Bombyx mori: one gene and its partner. The protein of the gene in region 1 binds, or shares a complex with, the protein of each later gene. Links are inferred from orthologs where the notes say so. Each region holds a gene or a part of one and is shown in the gene's direction. Other genes may lie near its edges.

Region 1 (3,653 bases):
GGGTTCTCTGATAATGCTGTGCAATGGTTTAGCAGTTATATGTCGAGTAGAACGCAATTTGTACAGATACGGAAAGAAGATGGAACTAAACTAACCTCTACTTCTAAGCCGATTACTAGAGGCGTTCCCCAAGGTTCTGTCCTGGGACCATTGTTATTTATTTTGTACAGTGCAGATATCACTCAGTGTTTCAAGAATTGTAAATACCATGTTTATGCTGACGATGTACAATTATACCACTCTTTTGATGTTGGAGATACCCCTTCTGCTGTCAGTTTTATCAATGAGGATCTGCAGAGGATTGTCTCTTGGTCTGAACAGAATTCCTTAGTATTGAACCCCTCTAAGTCTAAATACATGATACTAGGCAGTAAATCTCAGATAGCAAAGATTTTATCACTCGATCCTAAGGTGACTGTTTCGGGTAAGGAAATTGATCGGGTGGAGTTAGCATGCAGTTTGGGTTTGACAATTGATCCCGAATTGCGATTCGAGGCCCATATTACAAAGAATTTAAGAACTTGTTTTTACAGACTGAAGATTCTGTACTCGTTTAGACAGTACGTCAGTGTACCCATTAGGAAGTTGCTTATCGATAGTCTAGTTTTGTCGAAATTAAATTACTGTGATACTGTTTATGGTCCCTGTTTACTCTCGAGAACTGAAAAATTAATACAACGCATTCAAAATGCCTGTGCCAGGTATTGCTTTGACATTCCTGTGAGAGGACACATAACGCCCTATTTAAATGATCACAATATATTGAAAATGGCAGCTAGAAGAAGGTTGCACTTAGCAGTCTTACTATTTGGAGTGATTTCGACACATGAACCTAGGTATTTGTATGAGAAGTTAGATTGGAGAAGCACTCAGTACAGGTATGGCTCACGAGCTGCTGTTAAGCCATTGTTGACGCCCAAATATAAAACAGCTGCTTTTCGGGGAGCGTTTAAATACGCAGCTACGCATTGCTGGAACGATCTCCCACCACCTATTCGTCACATTGTAACAAAGCATGGCTTTATTAATCGTTTAAAATCATTTCTATTGGATTCACAAAAACTAATTTAATTTATAGTATTTATAGGAACTAGTTTTATCCTTGCTTTTGAAAACCTCCTTTTATTTAAGTTATTTTTTTTTTTTTTATGTACAAGTGTAAATGTTGTGCTGCTTGCCAGTATTAGTAATAGTATTATCGTGCTTTATTTTATTTTATTTGTTGTTTCGTTGTGGGCTGCCTACGGGGTGCTGTTACTGTTTGCTTATTATGTTATATATGTATGTATTAGGGTTCACAATTTAATTTGATTTTTGTTTTGTTTTTTTCTTAAATTTTTATAATTTACTAGTTTTACTAATTTATACCATATTCTAAGTATGTACACACGTAATTAGCCTTCATTCCCGCAAAGAACCAAGGGGAAACGGGGGTGACTGAAAATCAGCGCTGTTCGATTTATCAACCTCGAACAGCAATAGCTGAGCCACCTCCTTTTGCCTTTTTCTCTTTTTTTTTCTTTTCTTTTATTTGTATTTCATTTTATTTTCTGTGATGTGAAAGGCAATAAATGATTTTTATTATTATTATTATTATTATAAAGCCGTAAGAGATTCTGGTTTTAATTACTTTTTCGCTGCACAAAAATTTGCGAATCAGCAATGTGTTTCTCATAAAATAATTGGCGATTTTTATTGCTTTCTTCATAATTATCCGCAGCAGCCTCTATTGCTGTATTAAATTTGTTCTTCATTTTCAAATTTAACAGTTGAACAACGAATACAAAAACAAGAGACTGTGGTACTTAGCGAACCAATTCATTCTGACACCCGAGAAAGAGAGTAACTACTTCACTATGAGGTCAGTATAAGTTATCTATTGAAATAATCCATGAAATAGATCGTAAATTTCCATTTTATTTTGACGTATTAACTTGACCGCAAAAAGCATGGAGGGTAGAGGTAAGGAGAATCGTCTCTGATGTGAAAAAGTGTCCGTTAAAATCTGCTAAATAAGGGTGGCGCTGCTAAGTAGCAACCGGGTAAATTTTAAAAAAGGCGCTGAACGTTATTAGAACAAGATAGAGAAATAAAAAAGGACGAAAGAACTGAAGCACTACAAAATCATAAAAAGTATTTTATTTAAAGCTGATAAGAAAATGCAATCGATGTCTCCACGTTTTACCACAGCAATAATTTTAGGTTATATTGACGAAATTAGTTTGGACTACGTAAACATGTGAGGTCTTGTATATTACACTGTTACTAACTACTCTATTCATTAAATATATTATATTTCCTAACTCGGCATACTTCAATCAGTTAACAACTGCTCCATTCCTATGCTAGCGCCATTCTGGAGGATTTTTGAACTGTTACTTAGTGCTGAAAGTGGGACACTTTTTCAAGTTTCTCCCATATAAGACGGTTCTCCTTACCTCCCTCCATAGCTAAAAGTCTGCGCTCCATAAAATGCTTGTAATGAACGATCTGACTTAGAAGAGGCGTGGAGTCGTAATTAATATTTTTTTATTGTTTTGCCTACTAACGAATGATTTACTGTGATATTGTCAGTTTAAAAATTGATGTCAGATTGAATGCATTCTCGCAGTGGCCAGTTGTTAGAAGCAAAAGGTCGCATATGCATGACTTCATAATGTTAATTCTAGATCGAAATCAGCTATTTAAGCGTCTGTGCGCTTTTTTTGGGGCGAAACTATTTTTCGGTTCTAATGACCTCTAATACTAGATGAACGGGGACTCCGACTCCCTCTGTACGTCTACAGAAGTCGTTTTTTTTTTAAAACAGATCTGCTATAACGTCTACAATTTTTGACATTTCAGTGCGGAATTAGCATTCCAAGTACACACACTAGAGGTGCGATTGACAAGGCATCAAGATTTGTCAGGTCCAAGATATAAAATCCTCCTAGAGTATCTTGACAAACATCCATTACTGAAGGAATATAATCGTTCAAAGAATTATTATGGCATAAAATAGTATTACGTTCATCTTCAAATTTATTTTTGGGTTGGTATATTTTCTTAAAAAGGGCCCGTGTGGACATACTGGCAAATTGTAGTCAAGCGCGGTATTAAAAAAGCGTATTAAAAATAAAAGAAAGTTTCACAGCCCTATTAGGGCCGTTTAATTTTGAATTTCGAGTTTACAAGAAGACTAATTTTTATTTTCAAATATGTAGGTACTTAATGTACGATTTTGTTTTTTGGTGAAATAAATAAAATTTATTACGGTGTTAACGTTGTATGAATTTTAAATTAGATGACTTACAGGAGAAACTTATCGATAAATAAAAGCAAGCGGAAACCGATAGTGAAATATGCGATAAGTACATACATGAGATCTTAAATTAAAAGCTTCCAGAATTTTATGGATTTTTTTAAGGAACCATAATAATATAAAATGTAAGAAATTGAACATATTTTTTCATCAAGATGAACGCTACTCACAACGAATGACTTCACCAGGTGCAACACGTGATGTATAGCATGCACCTAGATGTGGTACTTAGTTTCGCGCCAATTTTGAAAAATGAAATACAGTCAAACCTGAGTAAGTGAGAACTGGATAAGTGAGAAAACTCTATAAGTGAGAGTAATAGCCAGGACCCGTCATTTTAAGCTCCCAAAAC
Region 2 (4,374 bases), on another chromosome or scaffold:
AAAGACGTATACATTTTGTGCAAAAAAAGCTTTTAACTGATTTGATTGAATTTCGTTTTATTTTACTTTGCAGAATCGAGCTCTTCTTACCTATTATTAAGCCTAAGAATAATCATATGAATGAATTTCCCATAAAACAGTGTATACATAAATTGATATCGATGTCGAAGTTTTCAAACCGATTACGATTTGAACTGTTCAGTTGGAATAACTGCAATAACTGATATGCGTCGTTGTATCAGTAAAAACATATAAAATACTTCGAAAACTTAATGATGCTGTACATTAATATTTAATAAATTATTAGATTTTTATGCGATTTTATCTCATGCTTGAGTGTGAATAAAGTCGTAACCTTGATTTTGGCGTCAGATATTAAAATAGGTGTGTTTGCAAATCTCTAAATGGGACAGCAAACTGATGTATGGTTACTACGGAAGTTAAAGTTACTAAGAATCACACTAAATCTCTTAAAGTGGAAACAACAGTGCAACAATGATCCATGATTGATCGACAAATGTACACGTGCAGTAATTAAAAAAGTCCCTAACAACAATTTCAGCAACATTACTAAAAAACTGTACATTACGCATTAAATAATTACATCTGAAATCCTAACCTGTTCCAGTTTTCGCTTCGAGTGCTTTTTTCAATCTTTCTACCAAAGCCGGCTTGTTTCCCTTCGTATCTAACCCGAGAGCACCCAACTCGGACCTCAAGTCCACCACCTTCATTTTAGCAGGATCCATTGTATTAATCGTCTGATAGTATCCACTTCACAACACTTTAAAGTTTTTAAAACACATGTGCTTAAATAATATTAATTCTATTACTATCTGAACGAAAATTCACGACAGAAAAAGCGCCAACTAAATCCAAAATGGCGATTTAGCGGCGCATCAGCATAACGGAAGGAAATGGCGGTATATTATCTATGGTGGGGATTGGCGATTCCAGAATTTTTTGGAATAAGCTATTTGTTGTAAAATTCAAAAGGCCAAGGGTTTCTTATCCATACTACTCAAAAGTCTGGAAGCCTGCTGTTTAATCAGTATAGATTGGATTGTTTTTACAATGAATTTATTTTCTATTTGATTTTCTATAAAAGCATATTTTTGTGTTTTTTAAAGTATATATTTTTTTTTAACTAATATTTTTTGAATGTGGTACGACAATTAAACATCAACATGTCAACAATAAGCTATTAATTTGTACATTGGTTGAATTAAGCTTTGTCAATATTGTGGAGGAGCTGTTAAAACTGGGAGCTAATCCTAAAAAAAACTAATTTATGGATAATAGGTCTAACTGTTTAAAATATTGCATTGTCAACGGTCCTTGATAAGTACCTATGTCAAATTTTGATTTCAGTCTACGTTTTGAAGGGGGTCAAAATCATGTTCAAAGCATCCGTCACATATATACATACTAACTTACAGCAGCTCTGGTGCAAAATAGAACTAAAGCTTCGTCGATGACACTAGTGATAACTGATAGGTTGTGTTGCCTGGTTACGGAATATTTTTTTCAATTTAATACGTGTACTTATTAGTGTTACAAATCTTATAATTAAACTATTAGTTCATTATGGCAAGAAAAGAGGAACCTAAAAGTTAGTTATTATTTGAAAGATTTACTTTATATACATTTAATAATTTATAAACGAGCGATGTAAATACTGTGTAATTTAGTATCACTCATTAAATTTTATTATAAATGAATACATACATAAATACATTTATTAGTTGAAATTTAAACAAAACCAAACATTTTTATTGGTAAATAGATATTACGTCTGGTATAATATCTGATATATGTCATATATTGGTATATCTCATATACCTTAAATGTATCTTTCTAGTTCAACCAAACAATGATTTGGAGAAAAAAATAATTGAAGCTTTCGAAGTATTTGACCATTCTGGGAAGCAAGTCGTAGATGTAAGGGAAATAGGAACAATTCTTCGATCTTTGGGTAATGCTTTTTTTTCTGGTTTTCGTTAAATGTTTTAATACTTTACTAGTGTAATAAAGAGTATTTAAAAAATTCTGACTCTCACGGTAAATTAAAAGACACGAGTCACCACGAGTAGCCGATGGCGCTTGGAACAGTGCCGAAGTATCGCGAAATCATACTAAATATCGTAAGAATACAATAGCCGTGTTTACAACGTAATTACGCATGAAAAAAGTCATCATTTTGCTTTCCGTGCTCCAATTTTTCACCCTTTTAGGATAATAGATATCTCAATTTTAGTATGACAGTGATTATTCACGTCTTCGAGTCGCTACAAATTATTTAGGAGGAATAGTCGGAATGAAGGTGCTCTCCTCTCCGAGCCGGTCTGTGTGAACGGACCCTTAGGCCGTTTTTTGTTTTGGAAACTTCTAAGCGGATAACTGTTTGAGTACTAAATAGACTGTTTACATGGTAAATTTTGAATATAGCAAAAGAGACGTTAAATATATGTTTTTTAAAGGTTGCTGTCCAACTGAAGCCGAGATACAAGAGGTGATTTTAGCAACGGAAAACAAAGAAGCAACTGGAAACGTTCCGTTAACGAACTTTTTACCTTACATGTGTAAAGTCATGATAGAACATAGGTTTGTAATATTAAAATTAAAAAGGTTAAACAATTTTAAAATTTTGACAGTGTGGCTCAATCTTCGTTGTTATTTTTCATATCTTCTTTTTAATATAATACTGGCAGACCCGGCCACACGTTGCTGTGGCTAAGGTTTTTGTTTCTAATTAAAACGCGGCCGACTATGCTAATATCAAAAATTGACAAAGAACAATTGGATTTCACTGTATTGCGTTTACTACGAAATAAATTACCTACACTTATACTTTAGCCTAAGCATCATGTGGTGCTTATGCCATTAAATTGTAGCTTATGGAAACGTTGGAATTTTTGACAAAGCCAATTACGCCATTGATCACCGAGATAAGTAGATTTTGATGTTAGCTTTCTACCTTTCGTACGTGAATTTTTTAATTTAATTTTCCATAAAATGTTCATTATGTCAGGTATTTTATTTATTAATGGGACAGGTTTTATCCGGCGAGCGCTGAAATGCTGTTGGCTGCATTCAGATATTTTGACACGGAGGGACGTGGGTACCTCACTAAAGAGAGGTTCGCCAAGCTTATGATGGAAGAAGGAGAGTCATTTACGCAGGTACCTTAAAATTTCTTATTATTATCTATATCTATATATATAAAAATGAATTGTTGTTAATCAGTCTCGCTAAAACTCGAGAACGGCTGAACCGATTTGGCTAATTTTGGTCTTGAATTATTTGTGGAAGTCGAGCGAAGATTTAAAAGATAGATAGATATGAAAATGCACGGAATTTAATAAAAATAACAATTTTGTTTTTCCTTTGATGTGTCCCCTGTCGGTCTTTTATTTATCGATTGGGGTACTACGAAGTCTGCCGGGTCAGCTAGTTTTAAATAAAACAATTCGTTTTCCGGCTGCCTTCACTTTATGTCGTATAATATATTGTTACGCCGGTAAGAGTAACGCCATCTATCGCTGAACAGCCGAAACGAATACCAAATGATAGCAACATCTAGAACGCTCGAAAAGTACAACGCCATCTATTGTCAGGTAGCGGAAGCACGCATTGAAAGTGCTCGACTTGTGAGGAATGTTCTCGACGATTCTAGGGATGTCGTATCGACTTTATAAGCGTTGCAGAGATGCTGTCGACGTCACCCAAAACACGTCATTACGGATCCTCCCGATCCATTAACGGTGCTTTTAGGTACCACAAGCACCGGTCACAGTCCTCGCCGAACTAAGTTTCTCGCCGAATCTTCTCAGTGGGTCGCGTTCCCGATCCGGTGGTAGATTCTGCGAAGCGCTGCTCTTGCTAGGGCCAGTGTTAGCAACACTCAGGCTTGGGCCCCGTGAACCTTCATGTTAGGGCGAAACTGAAATAGTCTCTCGTGTTTGTGAAGTGTTTTAAGTGTTCTAAGAGATAACACAGTTTCAATTCGTACTTCGATAGAATTTTTATTTATACCGAATCGTATTATAATATAACATTATTTTTTATAATTAATAATCCTAACACTATACAACAATAATCCATAACATTAGTTATTATAAAATAATACCGTGTTATATGTTATGCTAACAAATACTATACTGTTGTATATGGATATGAATTGACTCGGTTAAATTTCAACGAGTATTCTTATGGCTCTCATTTTTTTCATGATACAGGAGGAGTACGATGAAATGATGCAAACAGCGTTAGATCCTGTAACAGATACAATAATGTACGAATATTACATCAACCAACTTATGGTGAGCGCATTCTATTTTGTTGTTTTGTTTATATTTTAGTTTATCTTATAAA

What was found.
Region 2: dynein regulatory complex subunit 7 (region 1) and dynein regulatory complex protein 8 share a complex: the UniProt entries of both Homo sapiens proteins name them as parts of the nexin-dynein regulatory complex. The link is inferred for Bombyx mori from reciprocal best matches to the Homo sapiens genes DRC7 and DRC8.

Annotation. Positions count from the first base shown.
Region 1 is NC_085131.1:3,580,308-3,583,960, reverse strand, and holds the end of dynein regulatory complex subunit 7, read left to right. Parts: intron 1-1,769; coding exon 1,770-1,861; intron 1,862-2,844; coding exon 2,845-3,001; 3' UTR 3,002-3,261; downstream 3,262-3,653. UniProt on the Homo sapiens protein: Component of the nexin-dynein regulatory complex (N-DRC) a key regulator of ciliary/flagellar motility which maintains the alignment and integrity of the distal axoneme and regulates microtubule sliding in motile axonemes.
Region 2 is NC_085130.1:5,994,833-5,999,206, forward strand, and holds the start of dynein regulatory complex protein 8, read left to right. Parts: upstream 1-1,454; 5' UTR 1,455-1,587; coding exon 1,588-1,612; intron 1,613-1,861; coding exon 1,862-1,975; intron 1,976-2,480; coding exon 2,481-2,604; intron 2,605-3,055; coding exon 3,056-3,182; intron 3,183-3,999; exon of another isoform or gene 4,000-4,238; coding exon 4,239-4,322; intron 4,323-4,374. Other genes in the region: heterogeneous nuclear ribonucleoprotein U-like protein 1, read right to left, coding at 620-749. UniProt on the Homo sapiens protein: Component of the nexin-dynein regulatory complex (N-DRC), a key regulator of ciliary/flagellar motility which maintains the alignment and integrity of the distal axoneme and regulates microtubule sliding in motile axonemes.